Rhinolophus ferrumequinum: one gene and its partners. The protein of the gene in region 4 interacts with the protein of the main gene of each other region in a pairwise test. Links are inferred from orthologs where the notes say so. Each region holds a gene or a part of one and is shown on either strand. Other genes may lie near its edges. The genes, in order: TRIM41, SSNA1, ACTG1 and EHHADH.

What was found.
Region 1: the proteins of EHHADH (region 4) and TRIM41 interact in binary tests that used the Homo sapiens proteins (3 or more experiments, as listed by UniProt). The two-hybrid records come from large-scale screens. The link is inferred for Rhinolophus ferrumequinum from reciprocal best matches to the Homo sapiens genes EHHADH and TRIM41.
Region 2: the proteins of EHHADH (region 4) and SSNA1 interact in binary tests that used the Homo sapiens proteins (3 or more experiments, as listed by UniProt). The two-hybrid records come from large-scale screens. The link is inferred for Rhinolophus ferrumequinum from reciprocal best matches to the Homo sapiens genes EHHADH and SSNA1.
Region 3: the proteins of EHHADH (region 4) and ACTG1 interact in binary tests that used the Homo sapiens proteins (3 or more experiments, as listed by UniProt). The two-hybrid records come from large-scale screens. The link is inferred for Rhinolophus ferrumequinum from reciprocal best matches to the Homo sapiens genes EHHADH and ACTG1.

What each region holds. Positions count from the first base shown.
Region 1 is NC_046307.1:4,183,002-4,190,778, reverse strand, and holds the start of TRIM41 (E3 ubiquitin-protein ligase TRIM41), read right to left. Parts: upstream 3,021-7,777; 5' UTR 2,740-3,020; coding exon 1,933-2,739; intron 1-1,932.
Region 2 is NC_046295.1:83,294,242-83,299,804, reverse strand, and holds SSNA1 (microtubule nucleation factor SSNA1), read right to left. Parts: upstream 1,665-5,563; coding exon 1,613-1,664; intron 1,178-1,612; coding exon 978-1,177; intron 627-977; coding exon 519-626; downstream 1-518. Other genes in the region: ANAPC2 (anaphase-promoting complex subunit 2), read left to right, coding at 1,663-1,950, 2,154-2,776, 3,808-3,940, 4,894-5,068, 5,338-5,457. UniProt on the Homo sapiens protein: Microtubule-binding protein which stabilizes dynamic microtubules by slowing growth and shrinkage at both plus and minus ends and serves as a sensor of microtubule damage, protecting microtubules from the microtubule-severing enzyme SPAST.
Region 3 is NC_046304.1:54,455,610-54,463,507, forward strand, and holds ACTG1 (actin, cytoplasmic 2), read right to left. Parts: upstream 3,015-7,898; 5' UTR 2,856-3,014; intron 2,489-2,855; 5' UTR 2,483-2,488; coding exon 2,120-2,482; intron 1,839-2,119; coding exon 1,400-1,838; intron 1,297-1,399; coding exon 1,115-1,296; intron 1,028-1,114; coding exon 884-1,027; 3' UTR 166-883; downstream 1-165. UniProt on the Homo sapiens protein: Actins are highly conserved proteins that are involved in various types of cell motility and are ubiquitously expressed in all eukaryotic cells.
Region 4 is NC_046285.1:60,045,361-60,053,208, reverse strand, and holds the start of EHHADH (peroxisomal bifunctional enzyme), read right to left. Parts: upstream 3,006-7,848; 5' UTR 2,925-3,005; coding exon 2,851-2,924; intron 1-2,850. UniProt on the Homo sapiens protein: Peroxisomal trifunctional enzyme possessing 2-enoyl-CoA hydratase, 3-hydroxyacyl-CoA dehydrogenase, and delta 3, delta 2-enoyl-CoA isomerase activities. Catalyzes two of the four reactions of the long chain fatty acids peroxisomal beta-oxidation pathway.

The DNA of each region.
Region 1 (7,777 bases), on a different chromosome or scaffold from region 4:
ATTTCTACAAAATACTGTGCCAAGCTGGTGTTAGTTAATGTACGTACAATGTACGTATCTGAAAGGAATAAAGTATCTGACTGTAAAATAGCCTATAAGTTAGAAAGAGAATCACTCAAATTAGTTCTATATAATAAAGCTTATGTATTTACATTTGCTGATCAGTCAGTGTCGGATTATTTGTGTCTATGTGACCTCCGATTGGACTGGCATTCAACAGATGTGGCTAACACAAATTAAAATCCCGTTTCAGAAGCTCTTTGAAAGAGTCCCGTTGGGGGAGCGTGAAGGAGTGGGATGCCCATGGATACTCCACCCTGGGATCGAGTTAACAAAGTGACTGCACATTGTTTAATGGGTACAGTTAACTAGGAACTGAGAGGATATTAAAGGGAAGGGCAAAAGGAGCTCATAATCTCCCCTAATAATGAAGGGCAATATTTCCAATGCACTGAGTCCCATACTAGGCTGGGCTTTCTAAAGATATTCTCTCCATCACTGATTCAGAATCTCTAGTGGTAGGGTCTACTGTAGTTTTGAAAACCTCCATGAGTAATTCAGACAATCAGCGGAGTTTGACAATCATTGTCTAGTCAATTTGTCACGAGGGGATGTAGATGTCTTAGCTATAGCACTTATTCGATAGATCAGAGGCTCTAGGCGTGTTTCTCTAAAATCGGGGTAATGATAATACCTAAATGAGGTTATTGTAGGAATCAGGAGAAGGTATGAAAACCCAAGTATGAAAACAGAAGTTACAAAACAAAAAAGCTCTACACCAACCACAAGGAAGCTACTCTCTCCTGTTCCTGGTCCCACTACTTCGCTAAGCATTGCTATTAGAGCTGGCTGTCTCAGGGCCAGATCTCCTTTATCTATGTCCAAAAAAGTCAGGATCAGAAGTAGGGGGCAAGATATTAACCAAAGTAGAATCTGTCTCCAAGAAGTTACACGTCAAAAAAGTCAAACTAACAGACATCTAAAGAGTGGTGTCGTTAACAGTATTGGAGGTGTCATAACAGTGTGTGAGGGGGGTGTCATAACTAGTAGGTGTGCGGCCTGTGTATATTACTTAAATCTCTCTCTACTTCCCGGTCTGTGAAATGGGAATAGAAACCATATCAAACTCACAGGATTGCTCTTTCTTTTAAATAAGATAGTCTATGAAAAGTGCTTAGTACAATGCCTGAGGTACACAGTATATTTCAGTAAATACTAACTTTTAATCATGGACAAATTAAAGTTCAAAGACATTCAGGGACTTGCCCAAGTGAATAGGTGCAGAGCCAGAACTTATGATTTAAAAGTCTCTCCCTTTTTTCTCAATTCCCAGGAAGGTCAGAAGTTCTGGCCAGCACATCTGAATGACACAGATCCAACAAAAGTCCTCAGGGAGTGAACCAAGCCACATTACAAGGTAGGGAACCCAAAAGTAGGCAAATGCAGAGCATTTGGGTCTACACTAGGAGTCATTACTACGCTCCTGCTCCTCAGAGCCCTTTCTTGTTCTTTGAGATCCCAAGTTCTTCCCATCTCTAGGGTCTCAGTCAAAGGCTTAAGATTCACCAAAAGGAAAATGAGACCAGTGGTAAAGCCCTAAGGGCCTGTCACCTGCACTCCTACACTTAGGGACATTGGGACGTGTGAAACAGCAGTGGCTTTCCCCCAGGAGAAACACAGTCCAGTGACATGGCATTGCCAGCTTTGCACAATTTCCTTTGAGAAAGCCAATCTTTCCTGGTCTTCTCTGTGTCTGCTTTGTCTGTGTACAGGATCCTTCTCACTCTAACCCACGTTGGTGCCAATAAGTGCTTAGATAAGGAGAATCAGCTCACTAGAACATGATGCTCTTTGGAGGGAGACATTTCCTTTTCCCAGCTCCTCTTCCTTCCTCTCCTCCCCCACAAAATTCCCATCTTCTAGTTCTCTCACCTTGTACTCCTGCACCACCTCCTCCAGTGGCACCACGCTGTGCTGTTTGTGGCTCCTGGATTCTCGGCACACCACACAGATGGCCTCTTCGTCCACCTCGCAGAAGAGCTTCAGGGCTTCTTGGTGTTTGGGACAAACGCCCTGCTCATTCCCACGGCTCCCCCGACTAGGGGCTGGGTGCATCTGCCGAATCACCTGAACCATGTTGGCCAGCTGCAGGTTGGGGCGGAAGCTCCGCCTGGGAAAGCTCTTCCGGCACTGGGGGCAGGTGAAGCACCTCCGAGGGGCCGGAGGCGGAGGCAGCGGCGTGGTGGGGTCTAGATCCTCTTCGTCGTCCTCCTCCAGCACTTCTTCCTCGTCCTCCTCGTCCTCCCCCCTCAGGTCCTCCTCCATGTCCAAGTAGTAGTCCAGGTCTTCCTCCTCGTCTTCCTCCTCCCACACGTAGTCCATGTTGTCCCAGTTGGATTCGCCCATGCCACCGGTCCAGAATACATCCTCCTCTTCCTCCTCGACCTCTTCCTCCAAGTCGCCCTCATAGTCTTCATCCCTCATGGGGGTGTCCCACCCCCCACCGGCCCCCACAGCCTCCACTTCCTCTTCTTCGCCGTCCTCCTCCTCCTCCTCCTCCCGGTCTAACTCGTCCCTGTCCTCATCCTCCCCTCCCCATAACTGGGTTACACACACTCGGCAGAAGTTGTGCCCGCACCCGATGGACACGGGGTCCGTGAAGTAATCCAGGCAGATGGCGCACACCGCCTCCTCCTGAAGGGTCTGCACAGGGTTGGGTGCCATGGCAACGGCAGCCATCTTAGTCTCCAGTCAGCTAGTGTAGGTGGTTGGTGGGGGTAGGGGCGGGGGCTCTTCCCTCAGACGCCCTGGCGACCCGGCCCCACCCCCAGCCCTGCCTCTTCACACCTTGCCTTAAGCGCAGCCTGAGAAATGTCCTCCCGACAACCCACCCCTCCACGGTTTCCCACTCCCAGACGACAATCGTGTCTCTGCCAGGGGAGGGGACAGAGCTGAGCGCTACCGCCAAGTCCCTCAGGTGGCCCTGAGTGCAAATCTGCCCCAACGCTCTCTTGGCCTCCTCATAAACCCCCGCCCCTCCTCACTTCCTGGCTCCGCCCCTTTACTTCCGGCCTCCTTCCCAACACTTCCGGCGCCTACGAATTACGCAAGCTCCCGCCTTCCCTCCACGGTCGCGCTAACGCCCCCTTTCCGCCCCGGGCCCACGAACGACAGGAAACGGCGAGGAGACGCTCTAGCACACACTCGGGAACAGGACAGGAGGGCTAGAATGATAATGGCCCACTTCTCTGTGGTGCGGGTCAGCGGGGAACGCAGATGAAACAGAAGGACCAGCCCCCCCCGTCCCCCACCACCGGGGATAAACTTTGGGAGACAGTGGAAGCCCTTGCGATCGTCCGCTCTCGGTGCTATGACCGCATCGGCCCGGCGCCATCCTACCGCCCGGACCCGGACCACTGCAGCAGGGATTCCCCACAGCCGATGCCGGAAGCGGAGGGGCGGGTCCGGGTGAGCACCGTAAAGTATTTCCGGCCCTTCTAGGCGGAGGACTTTGTTGTTTGAGGACTCGGAACGTCCCTCGGAGACGATCGGGGGAGGGGCCTGAAGAAGTGTGGTGGAGTGGGACCGGAGATCCTCCCCTTCCTCCGCACTGTAGTTGACATTTCCACACCTATTTCAGGAACTGCCGTCCGGTCAGTGTCTCATTATTTAGAAGAACTTTCCTAACTGCACATCAGTAAAGGGATACTGACAAGTTATTGCATGCACATTCACAGTGGAACACGCTTTAGCTGTAAAAAGGAATCCTTTTCAAGCTGTGTTATTAAGTGAAAAAAGCACGGTACTGAACAGTGTGTTGAGTATACTACCATCTGTTTAAAGAGAATGAGAGGATGTTAAGTGTATTTGATGTTTCTGTAATCCTGAGTTTACTCATATAAAATAAGGGTAATAGTTCCTATCTCAGAAGGTTTTGTGAAATTAGAGTTAATATTATGCAAAGCGATCAGAATGTTGCTTAGCACATAGATAGAAGGTTCAGCTACCCATTATGATCGTCGCGGTCATCTGTCTCCGGCAGAATACTATACCGTAGGAGCAGAGGGTCCCTGGGAAGGCTGAGGGTCCGTGATAGAAAGGACACTTTTTCGTATATGATATTCTATATCTTTTGAATTTTGAACCAAATCAGCGTTACTTAAAGGAAAAAAAAAACTTTCTAAATGCCATAATTCAACACTTCTAGAGTTGTGTACTACGCCTGCTCCGCGAAGAAAATACCTCGAGATCTGTTTTCTTGGGTTCCCTAAGAGTAGGGGCTCAGACTTTGTTTGTGGTATTAAATTTACTTGAGAGAATCGTATCCGGGATGTAGATAGAAGTTTATTAGTAAAGACTTGTGCGATAGAAATAATACTTAATGCTTTTTAAAAATATGTCCTTTCATTTAAAAAAAAAAAACTGGCGGGGGAAGTTATAGGGTCGTAATTCTTGTTCAGAATCCCCAGTGAGTGCTGGCGCTGTGTGATGCCAGGGCTGGGCACACAGAATTTGCCCCCTGCCTCGTGGGGAAACTCCAAGTGGACCTGTGCTTTCTAGGGGTGTGGTGCCAAAACTTCGTGGGTGAACTATAGTAGACTATTCCAGGAGCTGCGGCGAAGTGCGGCACAGTTCAGCGGGCCAGCGCAAGGAGCCCACAGTCCCGCTGCAACAGGGTTCGGTCAGCCTCGCCATTCCGAACTATGTGTAGATTCAGGGTGGTGTCGGTCAAGCTCTAGGAGCAACGGTTTCCGTAGTGTAGTGGTTATCACGTTCGCCTCACACGCGAAAGGTCCCCGGTTCGAAACCGGGCGGAAACAAGCTTTTTGGTCTAGTTTTCAGTTCTTTGGTCACTTCCTCATCCCACCATCCGGTGAAGTGGTCCTCACAAGGAGGGAAGGGCGTGTGTGTCTCGGTATCTGTTTCCGGGAATCAGATGGAGAAGCGGGAGGGCAGCAGAGCCGCGCTCACAGCAGACCCTTCATAAGTATTGGCAATGTAAACGCAGTCTTGAACCGCAGCTAATCTTTTGATCTTCCCCTCAAATTCCTCTCGGCCATCTTTCCCACCTCGATGGGCCTAGTGAGTAGGACAAAGCAGGCGCACAGCGGGCGCTCCGTAATACTTGTACAGTCAGTCGTTTCTTAAAGTGTGCCCACATTACTGTATATGAATCTTTGTCTCAGACAGAATAGAAGGATTCAGAGAGTTGCCCGGCTAGCTCAGTCGGTAGAGCATGAGACTCTTAATCTCAGGGTCGTGGGTTCGAGCCCCACGTTGGGCGGTGGTCATTTTGAGAAATGAACTTTTGATACAAAGGCATCTCCTGTGCTCTTCCTTCCTTTGGTTAAGGAAGGTGTCAGAGCTAGACAGGTGATTGCCAATAGCTGAACTATAGTACCCCTTGTTGGAATGCACCCAGCCCTAGGGCAGGAATGAGGGGAACAAATTCCTGCCATTGCACTTGCTAAAATCCACCTACTACTGCCCACTGATGAGGCGTCTTCTGTTTACCTGATGACCCTCCCGGGTGTCCCGACGAGTTGCACTGGACACGTAGCTTCCCAAAGCTGTGATGGGACTGCAAATCCATCCTGAACGTTCGTGAGCGTCCAAACCGTAGCTCTGATATGGTAGCACCTTAGTGTAGGTAGAAGTCAGGATTCTGCGCTCTCACCGCCACCGCCTGATTCTGATGTTGGGTAAAGAAAGAAGTGTCTTTTGGTGTGCGACCCTCATCTTCAGTGTGTTTTCTTTATGCTCGATTTTTAAGCCGTCGATCTTTTGCAAAATGTTGCCCCACACATTCCAGCCTTTGCATTCCCCCCACACATAAAGGATGTAACAGGAACATCCTCAGTTTACCGATCTTGTCATGAAATTTTCCCTTAACTTCAGTTGAAATTCATTCCTCTTATTGATTGTTTCTTTAGTCCTAAAAATTCAGCCCATTTTCTATTTTCCAGCTGGAGAATTCTCCCCACATACACAGCAGACCCTAAGAGAATTCTGCTGATCATATAAAGCTGGTTTATTAACCTTGCTAAGCTAGCATTGCCTTCAGTCTCAGAAGTGTGTCGAAGCAAGGGAGTTCTGAGAAATTGGTCAGAGTCTGTAAAATAGACAGAATTGCTAATTCAGTCCTGGCTCATGTGTCTCTGGGGAGTTACTGTCGTCAAGGTCTTATCTTGGACCATATGGGTCTAAACAAGCTGGTGTTGGAAGAGTGTGAACTTTGACATTTCGTCTTGCACAAATGCTTGTGGATTTGTTTGCAAATTGTGGTTTCAGGGTTTGTTTGTTTTTTTCCCCCCACCATCGTGACTGGGAAACATTGCCAAAAAAGTGCTGCTTTCTCATTAAAGGGAAAACAAAGTGGACAGACTTCTCTTCCCTTTCTCCCAACAAACTGAGGGCTCCCGGGAGCTTTTTGCTACAATTCCTGCTTTTCTCTCCTCCACAGATGCCACCGCAGCCTCGCCCGCCAGGCTCTCGGTTTGAAATCCCCCTCCGAGTAAGTGACCTACACTGCTCTTGGCATAGAGGAGTCAATGTCATCAGTTCAGATGTTCAGCAAAAGCATGGGACCCTGGTAAGATCTTTGGTCTCTATCAAGAGTGGTAATGAAAGGCCGCAGAAGCAAAGGGACTCGCTCTCATTTCTATTTTAGAGAGATCCTTCAGAAATGATGAGCAGGAGGTGTGAGGGAAGGGAGGCTGTGTCAGGGAGAGGGGCTGGAAGGGCAGATGTAGTCCAGACAAAAGGTGGCTGGTGCAGGGGTGAGGCAGCAGCCGGTGAAGGAGCTGGATGCATGGTTCGTACCCTCACCAGGAGAGGGGCTCCCAGGTTTCTGCTTTAGATGAGAGGAGAAAGAAGTAAATAGTAAATGGAAAATTCCACAAATAAATAATTCATAAGTTTTAAATTGTTCGCCATTCTGACTAGCATGATGAAATCTCATGCCATCTCAATCCCTCCAACCCAGGACATGAATCGTCCCTTTATCCAGGGTATCCATGCTGTATATGCTCGTTAGTCAGTTAGTAGCCATCTGGATTACCAGACTGCATGGTGGGGTATCTCAGTGCTTGTGTTCAAGTCTCCTTTATTTTACTTAATAATGGCCCCAAAGGGCAAGAGTAGTGATGCTGGCAATTCAGATATGCCACAGAGAAGATGTAAAGTGCTTCCTTTAAGTGAAAAGGTATGTATGTATAGGAAAAAAGAAACATATATGGGATTTGGTACTATTCCTGGTTTCAGGCATCCACTTAGGGTCTTGGAACATACCCCCCCTTGGATAAGGGGGGACTACTGTAATGAGTTCAATCTGTTAGAGGTTATGAGATGTCTAAAAGGACATGGCCAAGACACATGAATCAGAAGTTTGGGCAGAGCCGTCATTGCTGGAGCCATAGATGTGGGGATAGAAGTTGTCAAGCTGTAGATAAAGGAGAAGTTGGAAGAGAAAGAAAGCCAGCAACCAACATTCCACAGAGGCCAAGGAAGTCGAAATGTATAAAAAGGGGGAGAAAGATTGGTAGAATCAAAGTATGGTCTAATAAGGGAAAGCGGTAAAACATCCATGGGTTGGGCCACCTACAAGTCCCTGGTAACCTTGAACTAGACTTGGACAAGAGGACCTCCAGCTCTGGCTCTCTGGTGGAGAGGGGCTCCCAGGTCACAGACATGTCAAGGGTCCTTTGGTAGGACTCAGCCTCGGTTCCAATTCCTGGCTCCGTAGGTCTACAGGAATCAGCGTTGGCAATGGAAAAAC
Region 2 (5,563 bases), on a different chromosome or scaffold from region 4:
CTAGGGGGAAGCTTGTATTCTGGGTGTAACGGGCAGCCGCCCTCTCCCAACAGGACACAGGCAGCAAACTGGCATGTACCTTTACAAAGACAACTTTTACTGACAGTCACAGGCCACCAGAGTGAGCCCTGAGGTGAAGGAGGGCCCCAGCCCCTCCGCCACTTGCCTGGCCTGGGCACCTGCCGGCAGAGGGAAAACATAAGGGGATTCCCATGATGCTGAGGCCAGAAGCAGGGCCTTCCCACAACCTGGGGAGATGTGGGGGCTTGAGAGCGGCCCCACGCGGAGCTGACCCAGAGCCCACCCTCCCTGTTGCCCGTGTGAGTGCATGGCTAGTACCCCCACCTGGTGGGCTGCGCCCAAGGGCAGTGGAGGTTGGCAGCTGCCTCTCTCGGCACGCAAGACGGTGAGAGAAAGCAGTTGCTGTCGTGAAGGACAAAGATGCTTTGAAGACAGACTTGCTGGGGGCCAAGCCATCGGTGGGCGCAGTGGAGGCAAGCCTCCCCTCCTGGGCCTCGTCAGCTGTCCTTTCCTCCACTGCTCTTCTGCTCTGAGGCTGTGGCCTTGCTCAAGTTCCCAGCTTCCTTCTTCAGAACACTAAGTAGAGTCTGTGAGCTCTCCAAGATCTGGGAACAGACACGAAATGGTTGTCACTGTCCCTCCTGTCAGAAGCACCCATAGCCCAGCGAAGAGGAAGCCCGAGGGGACAGGCGGATAGGGTCGGCAGGGCCTTTTTTCCCTCTGAGTCTAGCCCAAAGCCCCTTCCTCACTCCCTGGAAAGTCAGGTTAACTCTGGCCCCTGCTGCTGCCGCTCGGCTGCTCAGTCTGGAAGAAACCACAGGGTGGGTACTGAGTATGGTGCAAAGAACAACCGGGGACACACCAAGTCACTCCATGACGGGCCTGGCCGTGCCACAGTCCTGTCACTTCTGTTTGTGGGCATGGCAGACAGGTCCGCAAGCTGTCCCGAGCCTCACCTTGAGATAGGCTGCCTCGGTCTCTGCGATGGTCTGATCAAATTCATTTCGAGAGGCGATCTTGCGTGCCAGGTTCTCATTGACGCGGGCCAGTTTCTCAGTCAGCTGCCTCACCTCATTCTGCAGCCGCTGCTTCTCATCTTCTTCCTGCTGGATCTGCCGGCACAACTCCTCCCGCTTCTGGCACAGCTCCTCGATGCCTAGGGTGGGCGGACGGGGGCAGGGCTGTGGGCACAGGGCAGGCAGGAGAGCACCATCCCATCTACTCTGAATCCCAGTGCTTTGTAGGACAGAAAGGTGGTAGAGAGACCAGGTGCCGGCCGGGGCTCCCAGGGGTCTCAGGTTAAAGGCGGCACCACTGGAGGCCACCGGGCGCTGGGCCTGGAGGCAGTGCGAGCTCAAGCGATTCCTCAGTCCACAGATACCTAGCACCTGGTGCGTGGCACACCAGGAGCTAGGTATTGTGCGCTGGGCAGCTCCGAACCGCCTGCGCGCCGTCCGGGCCGGGCCACCCTCGCAGCCACAGGACAACTAACTTGGCCGTGTGCTGCGGGCCACCTACTGCCGGGGCCTGCAAGCCGGCGACCCCACGCCCTCCCCGCCTGCCCGGCAGGCCCCGCCGCGCGGCCGCTCACACTTGACCAGCTCGTTGTTGTAGTTCTGCATCGCCGCGCCCTGCTGGGTCATGGTCGCCGGCCACTCCAACCGCCGCTCCTGCAACGCCGCCCGCGCCTGCGCACTGCCTCTCAACAGCGCGCGCATCGAGTACGTCATCTCCGCGCGCCTGCCGTTCGCCTCACCGCTGCGCGCGCGCGAGCCTAGCTGTGCGTCATCAGCGCGCGCGGCGCCGAGCGGCTCTGGATGCTGGTGGGTGCTGATGGCGGCGGCGGAGCGCCCCGGGCCGACACAGCAGCTGCTGGCGGCCTGGAATACCGTGAGCACCGGGCTGGTGCCGCCGGCCGCGCTGGGACTGGTGAGGCCCGGGGGAGGGCGGCGGGCCTGCGCGGCGTTCCCCGGACCGGCGCGCTGCATGAGGGCGTGCACCCCGACCCAGCATCCGAGCGCCGCCGAGGAGGGGCAGCGGAGTTTCCGCAGCGGCCCCTGCGCCCTGTCCCTTCCCCACCTCTGCCACCTCTACGCTGTGTCCCCTGTTCCTCACGGTTTTCTGCATTCCAGGCATCCTCCCGGACCAGCGGTGCGGTCCCTCCCAAGGAAGAGGAGCTGCGGGCGGCGGTGGAGGTTCTGAAGGGCCACGGCCTGCACTCGGTCCTGGAGGAGTGGTTCGTGGAGGTGCTGCAGAACGATTTGCAGGCCAACATCTCCCTCGAGTTCTGGAATGCCGTCTCCCAGCGGGAGAACTGTGCCGACGAGCCCCAGTGCCTTCTGCTGCTCCTCGACGCTTTCGGCCTGCTGGAGAGCCGCCTGGACCCCTACCTGCGTAGCCTGGAGCTCCTGGAGAAATGGACTCGCCTGGGCTTGCTGATGGGCGCCGGCGCCCAGGGGCTGCGGGAGAAGGTCCACACCACGTTGCGGGGCGTGCTGTTCTTCTCCACCCCCAGAAGCTTTCAGGAGATGGTCCAGCGCCTCTATGGGCGCTTCTTGAGAGTCTACTTGCAGAGTAAGAGGAAAGGGGAAGGGGGCACAGACCCGGAACTGGAGGGGGACTTGGACAGCAGGTATGCCCGCCGCCGGTACTACCGGCTTCTGCAGAGCCCAGTGTGTGCGGGGTGCGGCAGTGACAAGCAGCAGTGCTGGTGCCGCCAGGCCCTGGAGCAGTTCCATCAGCTCAGCCAGGTCCTGTGAGTACTCGCGCCCGGGCCAGGCCCGTTCTTCTGATTCCCGCTTGCACCCCTGGGCCCTGCTGGCCTCTGCAGAGAGCTGGTGAGCTAGTTGGGGTCTCTGCCACCTGTCCTGGTCGCCATGGACATGACAGGGAGGGTCCACAAGAGCCTTGCGCTGTAACACCTTTTGTCCTGAACACAGGCGTGTCTGTCTGTGACTCAAGTTAGCCCAAGGTTTCACACTTTTTCACTAAGATCCTGTGTGATTCCAAGGTTCTTGGGCCGTGCAGAATTCAACTGTGCCTTTTATAGGCTGTGGGGGAGCAGTGGTGCTCACCCTGTCCTGTAATTGCAGAAGGTGGGCTTGTTATTTCTTCTTTTTGGGAACAAGTTGGAGATAAGGCTGGCATGCTGGGCAAGCAGACACCTCCCTTTGAAGAGGAAAGGATTCTGTTGTTAGAGCCATGCCTTGTTGTACTGGCTCTCCACCTTCTGTGGCCACTACGACAGTTTTATCACGTTGAGAAAAGTGCCAACAGTGCAGCTGTTAGGGAGAGGGTCTTGTTCCTGGACCTAGGAAGTGGTCCTGTTGCTGGTAGGGATCAGGGAGGCCCCAAATGATGTCTGCTGGGTTCGCCCCAGATGAGAGTCACACACAAGCATTCTTTCACGTTTCCTATCTTGAGTCCCTTTGCCATTGTAAGCCAGGGTTGGCCCTGAGCGGCACCAACCATGGCATGTGTACACATGTGGCCAGGTGGCAATGTGTGTAGTTGTTGTTTCCGAGCCATTTCTGGGAGATGAGACTGGCCCCTGAATCGTACATGCTGCTCACATGGGCAAGGTCAGCGTCCCAGCCCATGCAGAAAGGCCAGCTGGGGAGGATGGTCAGGGCCTTGCCAGTGCTGTTTCCTCCCAGTAGCTCTTCCTCAAAGCCCTGTGTACCATGTGCCTCCACCAGGAGGGCCATGGGAGGTGTGTGCTGGGTGTGGGGGTGGTGTGTGCAGCCCATGCGCTGTGCACGTTCCATGGGCAGGGCTCTCCTCCAGACACAGGCTCAGTCTGCTGGAGCGGGTCAGTGCTGAGGCCGTGACCACCACCCTGCACCAGGTGACCCGGGAGCGGATGGAGGACCGCTGCCGGGGCGAGTACGAGCGCTCCTTCCTGCGTGAGTTCCACAAGGTGAGTTCCACATGGCCCCCTCTTGGTTTGTGTCCCGTTAGGACTGGGGAATAGGTTTCTGGCAAACCTGACACCCTGGCTTTAGAAGTAGCCCGAACGTGGAGGCCAGGTGAGCCAGGACCTCACGGGTGGTTGAAGCTGTCTTACTGCTGGGTGGAGGCTGGTCCCTGTGGGCCTTTTTATCCCCCCCCCCCCCCCACCCCCCCCCCCCAGCGACAACCAGGAAGAGCTTGCGACGTGCGCAGCAAGGCCTGTATAGAATCACGTGGCTGGAGGCAGTGAGGGGCCTCAGGGCACCCATGCTATTGGGGCGTGGTCTGGGTTCTGCTCTGAACTCCTCAGAGTCACGGAGGACCTGGCCCAAACCATGGGGTGCCGACCAGCTTGGAGTCTGCCTCCTTAGGGTACAGGTTAGCTGCCATGGGGGCGTAGAGCTGTCCCACAGCAGTGGTCTGGAGTGGGCGTGGGCCTGGAAGCGTGATGGGGTAGCCCCAAGGCTGCAGAGTGTCGGGTGGTCTTCTCGGTGGTTGGACAGTCTGCTGGGGGGACGTGTGCATCCCCGAGAGCACGTGGCAGTATGTCTTGTAGACGTACATGATGTGCTCAGAAATGTTCTCGCTGGATGCTGCATTGTCTGCATGTAGGGGCTGGTCGTGTATGCAGTCCCCAGGGTGTGTCTGTCCTCAGGGGGGCTGAGAATGTGCTCCGTGCGCTAGGTCAGGGCCACTGTCGCACGTGGAAGGGCGTGGGGGGCATTGGTGGAGGGCCTGACATGCCCCTTTTGACCATCATCCTGCTAATGTGATTCTGGCTTCTAGAGCAGGTGGCCCTGGGGACTCCCCAGGGCCCGGCCAGCAGGGTGGTAGCTGTGCCGCCTCGCCCAGCCTCTGCTCTGGGTCGCTCTGGGTCAGTCTGGGCTCGGCCCCACCTGCCACTCCTGTGCTCTCCCACAGTGGATCGAGAGGGTGGTCGGCTGGCTGGGCAAGGTGTTCCTGCAGGATGGCCCCGCCAGGCCCGCGTCCCCTGAGGCCGGCAGCACGCTGCGGCGCTGGCGTTGCCACGTGCAGAAATTCTTCTACCGCGTGTACGCTGGACTGCGAATCGAAGAGCTCTTCAGTGTCATCCGAGGTCGGCCCCGCTGCCTGGAGCAGAGCTTCCAACCCCACCCCCCGCCCCCAGCAGGGCAGCTGTCAGGGGGTCCGAGCCCTCTCACGTCCCTACTCTGGATGGCCTGTGTGCCCCATAGGGCACTTGTGGTCAAATGTGTGGGTACATGAAGGCCTGAGGGCAACAGCGCTCACCCTTCAGGCCCCGCTGCCTCTGGGCTCCCTGGCAGGCGACATGAGGTGCATGCCACATGTGCGTGAGCGTGTGCAAGACCGGCCCTCTTCCCGCAGACTTCCCGGACTCCCGGCCAGCCGTTGAGGACCTCAAGTACTGCCTGGAGAGGACCGACCAGCGGCAGCAGCTGCTCGCGTCTCTCAAGGCCGCCCTGGAGACGCGGCTCCTCCACCCAGGTCCTGCAGCCGACCGCCGTCCACCCTCAGGGCCCAGGGCCAGGAGCCGGCCCTGGGGAAGGGGTTAAGAAGCAGTTTTGTGCAGTCCTTACAGGGCTGGGGGCCT
Region 3 (7,898 bases), on a different chromosome or scaffold from region 4:
CACCCGGTTCACTGGGGCTCCTTGTTCTAAAAATGCTAATCACACTGCAGGTTTGGGAGAAACCCAACTGTTGCCCAATTGAGCAGAGGACATCTGTCCCTCCCTCCCCCAAATCCCTCCCAGGCAGGTCTGGCCACCCCTCCCCCAACAACAGCAGCAGCAGCCGGCAGTTTACTGCAGCACTTTATTTTCCTCACAATGACGTGTTGCTGGGGCCTAATATTCTCACATGACAGTAGAAAACCAAAATTTGTTGTCATCTCTTCAAGAATTGAGAATTGCGTACAAAAAAAACCTTACATAAATTAAAAGGATGAATAAATTTACAGGTGTAAATGCAAACCGTTTTCCAACTCAGGGGAAGTAACAACCCACGTGTTCTGGCAGGAAAACATCAGCTAAGAAAAGAAAAGGGGTCCTAATGCTCGGACCTTCCCAACCCCCGTCAGACCGGCAGGACAGAAATGACAACTGCTTCAGGACTCTTGCCAGCCTCTGGAGAAATCCTGGAATAGGCGTCTCTGCACATTAATACCCTGCACAGATCCAGAAACGCATGGTCTCGCAGATCACCAAGCCACTGGGCTTCTCTCGCATAAACATGTCCTCGCTTCAGCCAGCAAGTGACCGAGCCGCGTGCACTAGGGGTTTAAATCAAAGATATGCACAGGGTATTAAACATGTACCAAGGGAACAGTTAACTTGAATACAAGGTCAAAATCAGCAACCAGGTCTACAGTCCAGTGCTGACATCAGATACAAGCTTCAAGGACAATTTCTTTTCGAAGGCTTATTCCAGTTTCATGAGGCTAGCACGTCTGCCAGGGCAAACAGACTTCCGGCAACTCCTGCAGCAGACGCTGCGCATGCGCTCGCAGTCCGCCTAGAAGCACTTGCGGTGCACGATGGAGGGGCCCGACTCGTCGTACTCCTGCTTGCTGATCCACATCTGCTGGAACGTGGACAGCGAGGCCAGGATGGAGCCGCCGATCCACACCGAGTACTTGCGCTCCGGCGGGGCAATGATCTGGGGAGACAAGAGCGTGGCTTTAGCTCGTGGCACTGCCTTCCCAACAAGGCCCCCCAGCCCAAGCCACAGCTACACTTGACTCACCTTGATCTTCATGGTGCTGGGGGCCAGGGCCGTGATCTCCTTCTGCATCCTGTCGGCGATGCCGGGGTACATGGTGGTCCCACCAGACAGCACCGTGTTGGCGTACAGGTCCTTTCGGATGTCGACATCACACTTCATGATGGAGTTGAATGTGGTCTCGTGGATGCCACAGGACTCCATACCTAGGAGACAAAGCTCTCCCTTAGCACTCGTGCCTCCCTTTCAAGGTGAAGGGCAGACAGTGCAGGCCTCTGAGCAGCCTCAAGCGGAGCTCCTGACACCTACCCAGGAAGGAGGGCTGGAAGAGCGCCTCTGGACACCGGAACCGCTCGTTGCCAATGGTGATCACCTGCCCGTCCGGCAGCTCGTAGCTCTTCTCCAAGGAGGACGACGACGCAGCGGTGGCCATCTCCTGCTCAAAGTCCAGGGCGACATAGCACAGCTTCTCCTTGATGTCACGCACGATTTCCCGCTCAGCTGTGGTGGTGAAGCTGTAGCCACGCTCCGTGAGGATCTTCATGAGGTAGTCGGTCAGGTCCCGGCCAGCCAGGTCCAGACGCAGGATGGCGTGGGGGAGGGCGTACCCCTCGTAGATGGGCACGGTGTGGGTGACCCCGTCCCCAGAGTCCATAACAATACCAGTGGTGCGGCCAGAGGCGTACAGGGACAGCACAGCCTGGATGGCCACGTACATGGCTGGAGTGTTGAAGGTCTCGAACATGATCTGGACGAGAGGCAATGGGCTCCTTAGTCATAGGCGGGGACCCGGGCCCCCCATGCTCACACACTGCATGCCAGCATGCCACAAATGTGATGTGTGGAGAAAAGAAAAGGAAGCAGGCAAAAACACAAATAAGAAACCTTGAGACTTCAGGGAGGAAATGCCAGGAGAGGAACAGAACCCTGGAAATATTGAAAGAAATACTTGAATTTCAGAAAACGAAGCTGAACAGAAAATGACTTGTGAAAAGGAGGGGAGGGCAGGAGACTCAGGGCAGCCCTTACCTGAGTCATCTTCTCCCGGTTGGCCTTAGGGTTCAGGGGGGCCTCGGTCAGCAGCACAGGGTGCTCCTCTGGGGCCACACGCAGCTCATTGTAGAAAGTGTGGTGCCAGATCTTCTCCATGTCGTCCCAGTTGGTGACAATGCCATGTTCGATGGGGTACTTGAGGGTCAGGATGCCTCGCTTGCTCTGGGCCTCGTCGCCCACGTAGCTATCCTTCTGCCCCATGCCCACCATGACGCCCTGATGTCGGGGGCGCCCCACGATGGATGGGAAGACGGCCCGGGGGGCGTCATCGCCAGCAAAGCCAGCTTTGCACATGCCAGAGCCATTGTCGATGACGAGCGCAGCGATTTCTTCTTCCATTGCGATCTGAGTAAAGATGCCACGAGTTTAGACGGGCCCTGGTGCTCAAGAAACAGCCCCTGGAGACCGTCTCCGAGCAGATGCTGCACCTGCCCCCACCCCGAGGTCGCCGCCCCCGTCTGGAACCGGGCGGGCCTCTCGACGCCCCCCACAATCCTCCGCGGCGGCGCGGCTGGGGGCTCTCCGCACTGCGGCCCGGCCCCGCCCTGCTCCCCCCCACCCGCCGCACCAGCTCCGTCCCAGCCCACCCGTCCGCCCCGACCACCCTTTGTTCGCGACAGCGGCGCGCCGGGCTTCTCCGACCGGAAACGAACCTACAAAAAGGGTGCACGGGGTCGGACTGGGACCGGGGCACGAAGGCCAGGCCACTTACCGGTGGAAGCGGCGGTCGCGGGGCGCGGAGAAACGGACAGCGGAGCAACGAGAGAACTACAAACGGACGCTGGCTGCAGCGAGTGAGACCGACCGCGGCCTCCCCCGCCGCTATTTAAGCGAAGCGGGGCGCGCGCGCGGGGCGGTGGCGCGCGCGGCCCCAGAACATGTCCATATATGGCGATCTTTCCGAACGCCGGGCGCCCATTGGCCTGCTCGGCCGGGACACGTGGGGCCCCGCGCCCGGCCCCGCCCCCCGCCCGCGCCGCCTCCAACGGCCCCGCCTGCACCCGCCCTGCTTCCGAGACCCCGCGCCCGAGACCCCGCACCTAATAGCATGCGGGCGGGGCGGGCGAGTGCCCTCAGGGGTTGCGAGAGAATCGCGGAGAGGACCGCGGGGCCGACCGGCCGGCCCCGCCCCGGGACTGCCGCGCGTCGTGGGGGGAGGGCCCGGCTTCACCCCGAAACTGCCTGGCCCGGGGCTGGGCCGCGCCCGAAGTCGGGGTGTGTCGCTGCGACCCGGCCCCGCTGGGGGGCTGTGCATCCCTCGCGACCCCTGCGAGCCTCCTCCCCAGGCTCAGCAGAAAGGCTGGCCGCGAAGGCGATTCCCGGGTCCGGTGCCGGGCTGGGGGAGGGTCGGGTGAGGGTCTCCGCCGACCGCCATGTGTCACTCTGGTGTTGGGGCACCCCGGGGAGCCGTGACCTCGCCCCCTGGTCCCACACGGCAGCTACGACTGCGCAGGCCCCTCCGCCAGAGAAGGGGGCGCCCTGCTTAGAGTCCCTGGCGGTGCAAACAGGCCCGGTTCTACTCATTCAGGGCACATCCTGCTCCTCAAACCGCAGCCCTGATTGTTCAGGCGCCGGCTTCACTCCGGATGTGGGGCAACCTACCCCCATCCGCTGGGGAGGGAATGGGGCTTTGTTTCCTTCTAACCACTTGTGGGCATTATAGGGAAACTGAGGCAGGGAAGGGAATTCCTGATTGCCTGAACGGTTGACTCCCCGCTAGACTTGAAGGGGACCCTCTCTGTTGATACTAGAGACGGGTCAGGGCTGTGATGGGTTTGCTGATTCCTGGAAACAGGCCGACCGCGCTGTGTCCCTGCCCCCTGGCTCTGGCCCCCGGCTGCCTGGGGCTGTGGGTTCTCCTGGGTCCAGGGCGTGCCCTTTCCCCAGGAGCCTGCGATGGAAGACCTGACATCGGCCTGGCAGCACCTGCTGGTGCCAGTGCTTTGGCTATGCCCGGAGGGGAAGCAGGTACTGTGCTTTCCTCGGGCTTATTTGTAACTTTTGGAACGGCTCAGTGTCAACACCAGAGGAGGCATGAGGGAGAGCACTGGTCAAGAGGGGTGGCAGTGGCGCTGCGCAGACTGAAAGGACTCGATCATTGCCACAGGCACTCAGTTTGGCTCCGGGCAGGTGTCTGACGGTTGGGGGTCAGGGCCACATGCCCTAGGAGCCCTGCAAGTTCAGCTGGTGACCACATCTAGCGAAAGCAGCCGCCCAGCTCACCTGTGCGCTGCAGTCCCCCAGACGCCAAGGCCTTGCCTATGGCCATCAGGCCTAGCTGGGTCACCGACTCCCCGGGCTTTCCAGGTCAGGTGCATGCCCCACCCATTGGAGAACCCCGGGGTTGGGCCTCCAGAAAACCCACCCTTACTAGCGCGGTGGGCACAACCACGACTGCTCAGCCCCCCAGATGGGAGTCAGCGATGCGAGGAGACTGATCCATGGGGAGGGGGGTCCCAAGATGTCACACACAGGACATAGAGGAGGTGGGGAATTATCTAAGGTTTCCTTGCTGTGTGTCCACCCGTCCCACATTCTACTCAGGCCCCTTCGCCTTCAATGGGGCACCCCGGGGCGCCTGCTCCCCGCCCCACTCCTAGCTCTCCTTTGTCTGGTGTGTGCCGAGAACCCGGTTGGCCCGGGCTGCTTCTACTGACAGTGGAGAAAACAGAGGATTATAGATCTCTGCCCCCCTCCAAGTTCCTTCTTCCCCACCTTGCAGTCGCCAGGACGCCGGGTGCACCGCTAAAGGGTCGCAGGGGGAAATGGGGCGGGGCCCAGGAACCCCGGGATTCTCGGGGTTCCCCCTCCATAGTCCACCATCCCCCCCACCCGCAGGAACTGGGATGCGGGGGGGAGGAGCTATTTCCTCTTCCGCCGCTGTGTCACCGGCGGGGGGAGTCAAGGTGCGGCCGCAGGTGTGCGGGCGGGGCGCGGCGGCGCGCGGCGCGGCCATATTTGGCGATTTCGGAGCCGCCGGGGAAACCGCGTCCCAGGCAGTCCCATCCCCGCCCGCCGCCGGGCCTGAGTCACCGGCCGGGAGGGAGGCGGAAGTAACGGACGGGGGGCGCCGGGCGCGCTCCTCGCCTTATTTAGTCAAGGAGGCCGTCGATTGGCCAGCGAAACAAAGGGGCGGTGGCGGGGCGGCCCCGGCGTCTCGGAGGGAGCAGGGAGTGGGGTGGTGGCGGTCGCTCCCCACCCCACCCCCGGCCCTCCACGCCTCCCAGAGGCTCCGCTGCTCGGTGCCAGACCGAACCGCGAAAATAGGGGGTGTGGGTGCCTGCGGCCCCCGAGGTCTAGTGGTCGCAGGGAGTGGGATTATGCAGAGGTGGATGCCTGGCTTGGTAGGAGAGGGGTGCCTGCCGCCTGGGAAGCACCACCGGAAACCAGGAGTGAGTGGATGCGGTGGGCGCAGGCCCCAGGTAGAACCAGGTCTCCCAGCCTGGCGCGAGGACCACACTCTGCACCGAGATTTTTCTGTTTTGCAACTGGGCAACTCGAGGCTTGCCCAAGGTCACCTCTGGACTGTGCTCTTGGAAACTCAGGGCCGCCCCCACCCCTCCTGAGGCTGGAGAGGGCCAGACCTTCCTGGGAGAAGAAGGAGCGGATGTGGCATCCCGGACTCCATGATCAGGGAGTCCCTGGAGAGGAGGGAGAGTCAGCAATTGCCCTTCTGCCCAGAAGTGGGTGTGTCCCTCCCATCTGGAGGATGGAGACTTGGGCCACAGAGAAAGAAATATGTGACTTTTTTCCTGGCCCAGCGCTGCTGCCTTTGGTGGATTTATTGTGACCTCCCTGGGTCTCATTTCATGGCTGAGAAAACTGCTGAGCAGGGAGGTAGCGTAGCGCCACCTTGCACGGAACTGTGGCCCTGCTGAGACAGCCCCAAACCCAGCTCGGGGTCCTGCCCGAGTCTTCCTCCCTCTGATTCACATTGCCTGCCATCTCCCTGCTTCTGCCTACGGGGACATTCTCCAAGATCTCGGTCACCTCTGCACCTGGTAGTGTGGCCCGCAGCACACCCTTACACACCCTCACCCCCTAAACCCTCTGCCTCCCACTCGTCAGGCAGACGGGGTAGGGAACTTGGCAATGAGTCCCTGCCCCTGGCCTTAGCCTGTGCCATTCCACTTGCCAGGAATGCCTTTCCTTCTTTCTCCACGTATGACAATGGGGTCCTGGGGTGGATCCTGGAACAAAAATGGCTGGTGGTGGAAGAACTGGTGCAATACAAGTGAAGTCTAGAGTTTAATGAATACTAAATACCAAGGTCAATCTTGTAGGACAGCTGTACCATGACAGATGTTAACAGTGAGGAAACTGGGTGGAGAGGCTGCAGGAATACTCATGTCCTTGCAACTTTTCTGTAACTCTAAATTATCTCATAATAAGAACTTTTTTTAAAGATTCCAAAGAAAACCAGTTTACCTGCCCTCAGCTTACTGCCTATTCTTCTCAGCCTGTGGACAGATCAAATGCAAGATGGTTGTTGTGTCACCTAAATCCCGCTCCAGTGCACTGGACGGGTTCCCATGAGGCAGCGGCAGCCCTGGGAGTGGCTCTATCTGGAACAGGGGTCCCCAAGGGCTGCCCTGGAAGGCAAGGCCAGGTTCCTGCCTGCCTCTGAGTTTCATATCACAGGCCAAGGTCAGGGCCACACACTTCTGTGTCTGGTCTGGTGCCCAGCTGGGCCTTGTTCTCCAGCGCTGCAGACCAGCACAGGCGGTCCAGCTGTCCAGGGGCACACCCGGAGGTCTGTGCCCATCCCCAAGCCCTGTGAAGTATTCAGACTACATTCTGTATGGTCACTCCCGCCACTGTGGGTGGAGTTTGGAGCTGTGTGCTCATGGCTGCCATTTGTCCTGTGCCGGGATGCTCCGGGCCAGGCCTCCTCGTGCCATCCAGTTCTCACTGCCTGAGGAGGCACCACAACTATGCCACTTCACAGACAGGTAAACCAAGGCTCACAGTGCACCCACATAGAGACATAGAGACACCTAGATCAAGGGCCCTTGAGCCCCTCTTCTGCCTGCTGCCTCAGCAATGGAGAACTCCAGGCCTTTTGAAGACAGGCCCCACTGGAATTGCTCTGGGGTTCCCCAGTTCCCACTATGGTGCGGCAGGAACCCAGGAGGCCCCTGGAAGAGCACTGGACTGGAAGTGGGGAGCTGGGTCTGGGCTGGGCTCGGCCCTGGGCCACTTGTGGCCCCCTGTGCCTCAGCTTCTGCAAAGAAGATGGGCGAGTGACGAGAAGGGTGCAGAGGATGGTGGCCCTCCTATGCTGGACCGCAGGTCTGGGGACAGGAGGCCATCGGGTGGCCCAGCCAACCTTCGCCCCCAGGCCTCACTGCTGAGGTTTCCCAGGCCTTCAGCCTTGACATCCACAGGCATTCAATGTTTGGTGACAATTCAGAGGCACTCGCTCAGTGACACTGTGTGCCACACCCAAGACTTCTAGGAGCAGTGGCAGCAATGGGCGCAGGTCCTCACTCTGCTTCTGAGGGCACCCCCCAGGCCACGCTTCCCTGGGGCTCTGCAGACAGGTGACACCACTGCCTGGAGACTGACAATGTCCCCCTCTGCATCGTCCTCACTCTCAGTGAACCATGTTCACAGATTGCAATGGGAAAGGAGGATTAAACCCAGGAATCCGGGCTTCCAGCTGTTTCACAGACACAGCCCTTCACCGCAGCACGTGGCCAAAACCAGAAGCAGAGTGCCTGCCAGGCCACAGCTCACCCGGCAGGCACATCCC
Region 4 (7,848 bases):
GAATTCTGAGTACAATGTCTGTTCTTTAACATATAGCGTGGGAAAAAGAATATTAATACAAATGAAAAAAACCAGCAAACTTCTAAAAAAGCCAGATTGGTCAGACGAGCAACTCTGAGTTAAAACCTGACGGAATAAGGGAGATACTTGCCCTTGTATACGATAATCCCCTTTCACCTTGTTACTTTTCATCAGTTAAACTAGATGAAATCAAACAAAACCTCTTGTCTTCGACTGGTTAATTAGAAATACACTGGTTAACAAAAAACAGATTCTGAACCATCCATAATACTGAGAAGTCCAAAAGGCACATATTTCCTTTTGGGTAAAAATTAGCCAAAATGAGCTTAATCAGTGCCACTGAGGAGAAGAGGGTGGTTTATCCCATTTCATCCAACCCCTACTCTATTTCTTATGTTCTTGTTAATTTTGTCAAAATCAAATACAGGACATAAAGAAAAATGAAAATGGCTGTAATAGATACAACTTTACTAGATTCAAGTCTAGTGAAAGGGACCACAGCCTGGTAGCAATGTCAAGGTCACAGAGGTTAAGAAATTGTTTTGTCCTCTTAATATTGTCAGGTATGAAGGAATGGAGTTTAGAATAAAGATAACAGTTAAAGAGTGCTGACCAAAACTCTTTAGCTTCTGTGACTATATGGTTTTTGTGACAGTTTTTATTTTTAAACTGAATGCCATCAAATGAAGTTTGTGGCTTGTGACCAGCATTTTTTAAAACAAAGAAATAGAAAAGAGGAGAAAATAGAATATATCGAACTATATAACACGTAAAGATAAGTTTTGTTTTGTGAAACTTAGCTTTCGGTTATATATTTGTATGTGTGTGTGTTTAGGTTGCTTTGTAAAACATGTGGTTTCCATGTGAAATGACAATAAAAAAAAGTGTGAAAGCCATTGAGTTGAGAGATAGGCCTAGGAATCAGGCATGTCCTACACTTGTAAAGAGGGTTAGCATTCATCTGAATTGAAGGAAACATGACTTGCTAAACTAGCAAAGGATTTAAATTATGTGTTTGGGCCCAAAAATTCTTCAGATAAGAATCTCTTAGTGATCTAGGAAGAGATAATTTTCCACATAAAATTAGAAACAGTACAAGGAAAAGGAAGGAAGAAAGGAGGAGAAAAAGTACAAAGAAAAAAAAAATCGGGAACCTGTTAAATTGAATGAACGTGCTGGGATGTACACCTCTACCTAAAACAGAACTTCAGAAGCAGATAGAAAAAAGGGCAGGAAAGTATTTATTCCCAAGTGGGGGAAATTGTAATAAATCTGAAATGAATCCTGAGCAGCAGAGCCCGTGGTAGGGGCTTGTAACAGGCCTCTGCTTAACAGAAATAATGATAGCTAACAGCTATTAAATGCCAGTTTATAATCTCTAGCATTTAAACTTCACAACAACTTTTATGAGGCAGATAGTAACATTTCTCCTGCAAGGTCAGTGGAGGGTGGATTAAATACTATAAACTTTAAAAAATAATTATAAGAAAATATCCCTAGTTATGGGTATTAGAGTGTAGAACATCCCCCCTCAAGTTCCTGATGGACATGGTTTCCCATTATGGGCAGAGGTTGAGGCAGACGGTCCTAATATCTAATAATTCTAATGAGAATATAGACACGTCCAAAATGGGTATGTAATTATATTACTTATGTTTTTCTTCATCAAAATCAAAATAACGAATATTTTACTTTTTTCTGAGAATGGCAAGTAAATGATCATCCTTGTGTGATTTTATTTCTGCAATTCTTTTGTATTATTCAATGTAATAATTCGTATTAAAAATGAGAATTATAATATTAATACAAATGATAAAATCAAATCGGATGATAGGATAAAAATTCAGTTAAAATTAGTTAAAATTAGCAGGTCTCATTTCGCCTTTTTTTTTTTTCCTCCAGCAGCATGTGATAGTAAGAATTTTAACCAAAGGTCTTTCTCTCTATACTGTATATATTCATCGTAAATTACAACTTCTACTAATTTTCCTCCCTGTGGATGGGTGGCTCTTTCCTAGGTTGATCGATCATATACTTTTTTCAGAGATATGGGATGACCAAATCTATATAATAACTTCATTAATTTTCAAAAAGCAGCATTAATCTCAGTTTTAAAAGTAATGCTGTAAGTGCATTGTACAAATCTGGGGTAAGAGAGTTTAACAAGAAAGGTATTCCACGGTGAAATAAAAGATAAAGTGCACAGTTTTTCAGAAAATGGTATTTAATAATCTTACTCTTACTCTTACTCTTCTACTGAAGCACTAAGGCCTTGAGGTTTAAACAGATCAGGAGATACGACTGCATTTTCTGGGCCCGGGCTCAATTCTCTTTTCCTCACTGCGTTGGCAATGAGGACCTTTACTGATTTTTTAAAATGTGAAGCCACACGGTCAGATTTCTAAAGCTTTCAGTCACACATGTAAGGGTTGCCTGGGCTCCAGGTTGAGAAATGAGGGATCAAGGTCCAGCCAGCATTGCACTAAGACCTTTGGAACACAAAGTGGGCCACATAAGTCAAAGTTGCAAGCAAGCAGAAGGGTTCAGCACGAAGTTGGCATGCGCAGACCCGGTTCGAGTCCAGCTCCCCCGCTTCGTAGCCATCTGTCTGCCTCTCAGCCTTGGTTTCCTCCCCAGCGAAATGGGCATGAAAGTTCTCTGCGACGATTCACCAAGCTGACCTATGTAAAAGGCCCTGGCAAACGCCATCGTTCAATTTGAGTCAGTGTCTTTCTCCGTTTAAACCAGGAGGGGAGAGTCAAAGCCTCCTGAGCAAGCAGGCGGGGAAGGCCCCGCTGTCCCCAGGCTGGAGGCGACCGAGCCCGTTACCTGATCGCGTTGACCGGCGGGTTTCGGAGGCGAATCAGCGCCAGAGAGTTCTGTAACCGCGTATACTCGGCCATGTTTCCCGGGTCGCTGAAGTCGCCTCCGCCAGCCGCCGCAGGGCGATGCCACTTTTCCTTGCGCACCGGTCCAGCCCCGCGAGGAGGGGCGCCCGCGGGGCCAATGGGAGCCCAGCGCCGCCTCCCGCCTCCCGGCCGCCCCCCCCCCCCCCCCCCCCGCACCGACGCGCACACTACGTCGCCGCCCTCCTGCTCCCCCTGACCCCAGCTCCGCGTCTGCAAAAGTTCGTCGTCTCTTTCTTTTTTTTTTTTTTTAATTTATTTTTAATTTATTGGGGGTGACAATTGTTAGTAGAATTACATAGATTTCAGTTGTGCAATTCTGTATCACATCATCCATAAATCACACTGTGTGTTCACCACCCAGAGTCAGCTCCCCTTCCATCACCGTACATTTGATCCCTCTTTCTATTTATTGGCTCCCTACCTGCTCCCATCACAAAGCAGATCTAGGAGGACAGTGGAAAATGGGTGGAATTGCCAGCAAGTGGAGGTTTGCAAACCCGATTTCTCTGGGCAAATTCTGAGTTCACTAAGTTGTGGAGCTGTCCTTATCACAATTTTCATCTTCATGATCCTTAACAGGGACCGATATATGGGGTCCTGACAATTACGTGATATGACACAAACCTGGAATATTAAATCCATGCATCATGCATTTCACCTAAATGTTCACCTACTGACATGAACTGAGTATTTACAGAACAGTCGTATGGCAACCTAGTGAAACCTGAGTTTCTTTTCTGCCCAGTCCTCATATTTCTTCTTCTGCCATTCCTTAGGCTTGTGACTTCTAATACTGCATTCATTCATGAATTGTGCACCTATTATGGGCCAGGTCTAGGCAGGTGACTAAAGATAAACAAGGCTCAAACCCTTTTCTCTAAAAGTTCAGGTTGGACTTTTAGATGTGATTGGCTTCTGGTGGTCTCCACAGTCTGCGAAGTGGTCCGAGGGCAGTCTGGAAGTTTCAGAGGAAAAGAACAACGGAATGAGTTTGTTCACTGGTGTTCCACAAATTTTAACAATGATTAAGGACTATTTTCATAGATATTCTTTCACTTCTTGGAATTCAAAACAGGCTCCAGCTCCTGTGAAAATGCCAATTGCCTTGAAGCCCTGGAAACAAGTAGCAGTCAGAAGGGATCCAATCTGTCAAAGACAGACCTCACTTGTACCAGTCACAAACAGCCCAGTGCCAATGCCTCTGGGTGCCAACAACCAGCTTCTTACAGGTCATATCAATCTTTAATGCCTCTGCAGGTTCGCCAGTCCCTGAACTCTACCTTGCCCAGAACCTCGATGTAAGATCAGCAGTTTGCTTTGCTCAGAGAGCCTGTGCATGACCTGCAGAGCTTTCCCTTATTATAGGAAGCAGTAAATTAAACTTTGTCTTCTTATTTCAGACATTGGTCTCTAGGAGAAGAACTCTGCCGTGGCATGCTAGCAAGTTTGAATGCCTCCACAAAGGCTGTGTAGGCAAGGCATAACAGCTCTGAATGGCCGGAAACTCTTCCTGGAGCAAGGGGACATCAGGAGGACGTGGAGCCATTTTGAGGCAATTTTTCATCTTTACCTTGGAGGAGTCAGACACACATCATTTCTCATCTATCTCCTAGTTTCAGTTGAACACAGAACTTTCTGCTTTGAGTCCCTCCACCCCCATCCCTTAGATACAGCTGCAAACTTCCATCAAATTTAAAATTTAAGAGGGCACTTACTCTCAGATTTCTGCAAGTGGTGACCCTGCCCTGCTTCTCAACAACAGAGCAACTTGGTTCCTGTCATCCTTCATCCAGCACTTTCTGTTTGGTGTCATCCTGTGGGACTAGGAACACAGGGAGCTGATACCACGCTGACCTTTCTTTTGCTGTCTATGTAAATAATAAAGTGTCTAAATTTATTTTGGGCTCCTATGGGCCAAATCTGAATGTGGCGAGCCAATTTAGCAGATGGCACCATGCTGCTTCTTGCAGACTGCTTGACCATTGATCGTTGCTTGATGATTGTGATGAATTGTTATATGCTTAAATTGTCTTCTCATTCAATTTGTCTCAGTAAGTGCTACTTAACTGGATGCCATTCCTCTTGGCTAAGGCACTTCCACATCATTTGCATGTTACTGCTTTTGCTTGTTAAATATGCTTTTGTCATTGTTGTCATTATGTTGCAGTTCACGAAAATAGATCAGTGGATCAGAAGTGGTTCATTAAAGATCTCAGGAAAAATAAAAGAATGTAAATATTAAAATTTATGTGCTTACTGTGTACTCACAGGAAGAACAGAGATGCCTACCTAAACTTGGCTTTCCCTGCATGGGTGACCTGTAAGCCCTGGAAACTGACAGGGTATTGTGTTGTGAAACTTCATTTCACAGTGGCATAAGTCCATCAGAGCTGAAATCTCTGGTAAACCAATCAGGTTTATCCAGAACAAATGCAAAATATTGCTTTCCACCTGGAGTGATAAAATCTCACATGTGCTCTTCCCTGTCCTTTCCCCTTTTAATGTGGGATACAAATGGACCGCAGGCCCCAGGGGAAGACAGAGCCAGAGATAGAAGCCTGACCGCCCTAACAACTTTGAGGAGAGAGGTACCCCATTGACTGGAACCAACATGGACTGCTACAGGAGAAAGAAAGAAATGTAGGTCTGTTTGTTAAAACATTTCAACTTGTCCTGACTAAAACAGTGAAGCAATGAGCAGTGAGTACACTCTTGAACAGGGAAGTTGGCTGATGCTTAAGAAAAGCTGCCCACGCAAGTGTTGAAATAAAAGGTGAGATATAAATATTTTCTTCACTATACCAGTAATATCAGTAAATGACCATTTCTAGCATTTCAAGTGGCTTGCTCAAGTGTTGAGCCTTGGAGAGACACACACTCGTGTACACACACATATATTTAGTATCATAATGATGAAGATTAACCAGCTATCAGGATTCCTAAAGAAAACCCAACTGTGGTGAAAATGATGCAGTCATTATCTTCACTGATTGAAATAAGTCCTTAGGACTTTCAACTCCCTGATTCTACTTTTATTCTCAGAAATAATTACTCCCTGGGTCTACTTTTGTTATACGTTAAGTCTCCCATTAATAAAATTATTTTTCAGCAAATATTCAAAGATGTTAACAAATTCTGTCTTAAGTCTGTTCCTTTTCAGGCCCTTTCTCAGGAACTATCATTTCTCATATGATAAGGTATCCCTAGTTCTTCACGCTGTTGGTTGTTCGGGGCATTCTTCGTATTTGTCAGTGGCCCTATAAGTAGCACCTATTCTCTGGATTCTGCACCTGTCATCAGTCAGGTCATATTCATGTTTCCCTAACTCATATTTACTCTTTATTTCTTATCCATAAAGATATTTCTTTCCTTTCACTTTTTTAAAAGGATAATTAATTTTTATTGATATAGCTCACATACTATACAAATCATCCTTTTAAAGTGTACAATTCAGTGATTTTTAATGTCACAAAGTTGTGTACCATTACCACACTCTAATTCCAGAACATTTTAATCACCCCAACAGAAGCCCTGTACCTACAATTCCCCTTTCTTCTTATCCCCTAGCAACTACTAATCTACTCTAACAGAGACACTAATCTGTCTCTACTGATTTGCCTATTCTGGATATTTCATATAAATAGAATCACACAATATGTGGCCTTTTGTGTCTGGTTTCTTTCACTAAGCATAATATTTTTAAGATTCATACATGTTGTAGCATGTATCAGTACTTCATTCCTTTTTATTACTGAATAATATAGTTCATTGTATGTACATACCACATTTTGTTTATTCATTCATCGGTTGATGGGTATTTGGGCTGTTTCTACTTTTTGACTCATGTGAATATACTGCTATGAACATTTCATGTATGTGTTTTTGTGTAAAGTATGTTTTAAATTCTCTTGGGTACATACCTAGAAGTAGAATTGCTCGCTCATATGGCAGTTCTGTTTAACATTTTGAGGAACTGCCATATTGTTTGATGTACAATCCATATAGCAATGTATAAGGTTTTCAACTTCACATTCTCGTCAATACTTCTTGTCCATTTTTATTATTATTATTATTATTATTAGGCTAGTTGTTCTTAAATACGAGTTATATTGTATTTTTCTTTATCACCAAGCATGGTCTTCTCCCTTTGTGAGTGAATACACATTTAGAATCTGTCTGGCTTACGAAAGCCACTAAGTAAAAATAGTCATATTATTAGCCATTATTAGTCTTATGTTCCCTTGAGATGAATCAAATTGAATTGTGTCTTTTCTCTAGCATTATATTTCCATCTGCTTTGAATAGCAAACAGGATTCAAACTAATAGACCATTCATTGCTAAGGTCAAAATAAAATAGGTTGGCATAACTCAGACCTCCATTAATAGAATCATCAAATATTCTAGCATCTGTTATTTATTTCCAGATTGCCCCATCAAAGTGCCTTGATTTTAAGCCTGGAGATTATGTGGACATGATTATAGCTTTCAGAAATCTGAAGTAAAAGGAAAGGGGCCAGAAGACTAAAGATGGGCAAATGTTTTGATTTGTGAATAGGCAAAGAGATGATAAAAGATGTTGTAGACTGGTGAGTTTTAAATCAATACCTTATGAAATTTTAGAATAATTCATTAAGGAGATGGTTTGTGAAAAGGAAGTTGTGATCATCAAAGATATATTGTGCTCACTAAGAACACGATATGCCAAATTCATTTTATTTCAGTTTTTGAGAGGATTAATACATTGGAAGTTAAAATAAATGTTGTATAGCAATTCCTAGGGAGATTTAACAAGGTTAGATAATGGAATCCTTGTAAATATGATGTGGGCTATTTGATAACTGTTTTATGAATAAGTATTTAACCAATCATATTTTGAGCTGTTGTGTGTGCTAGCCACTGCTAAAGCAGCATGAGCAA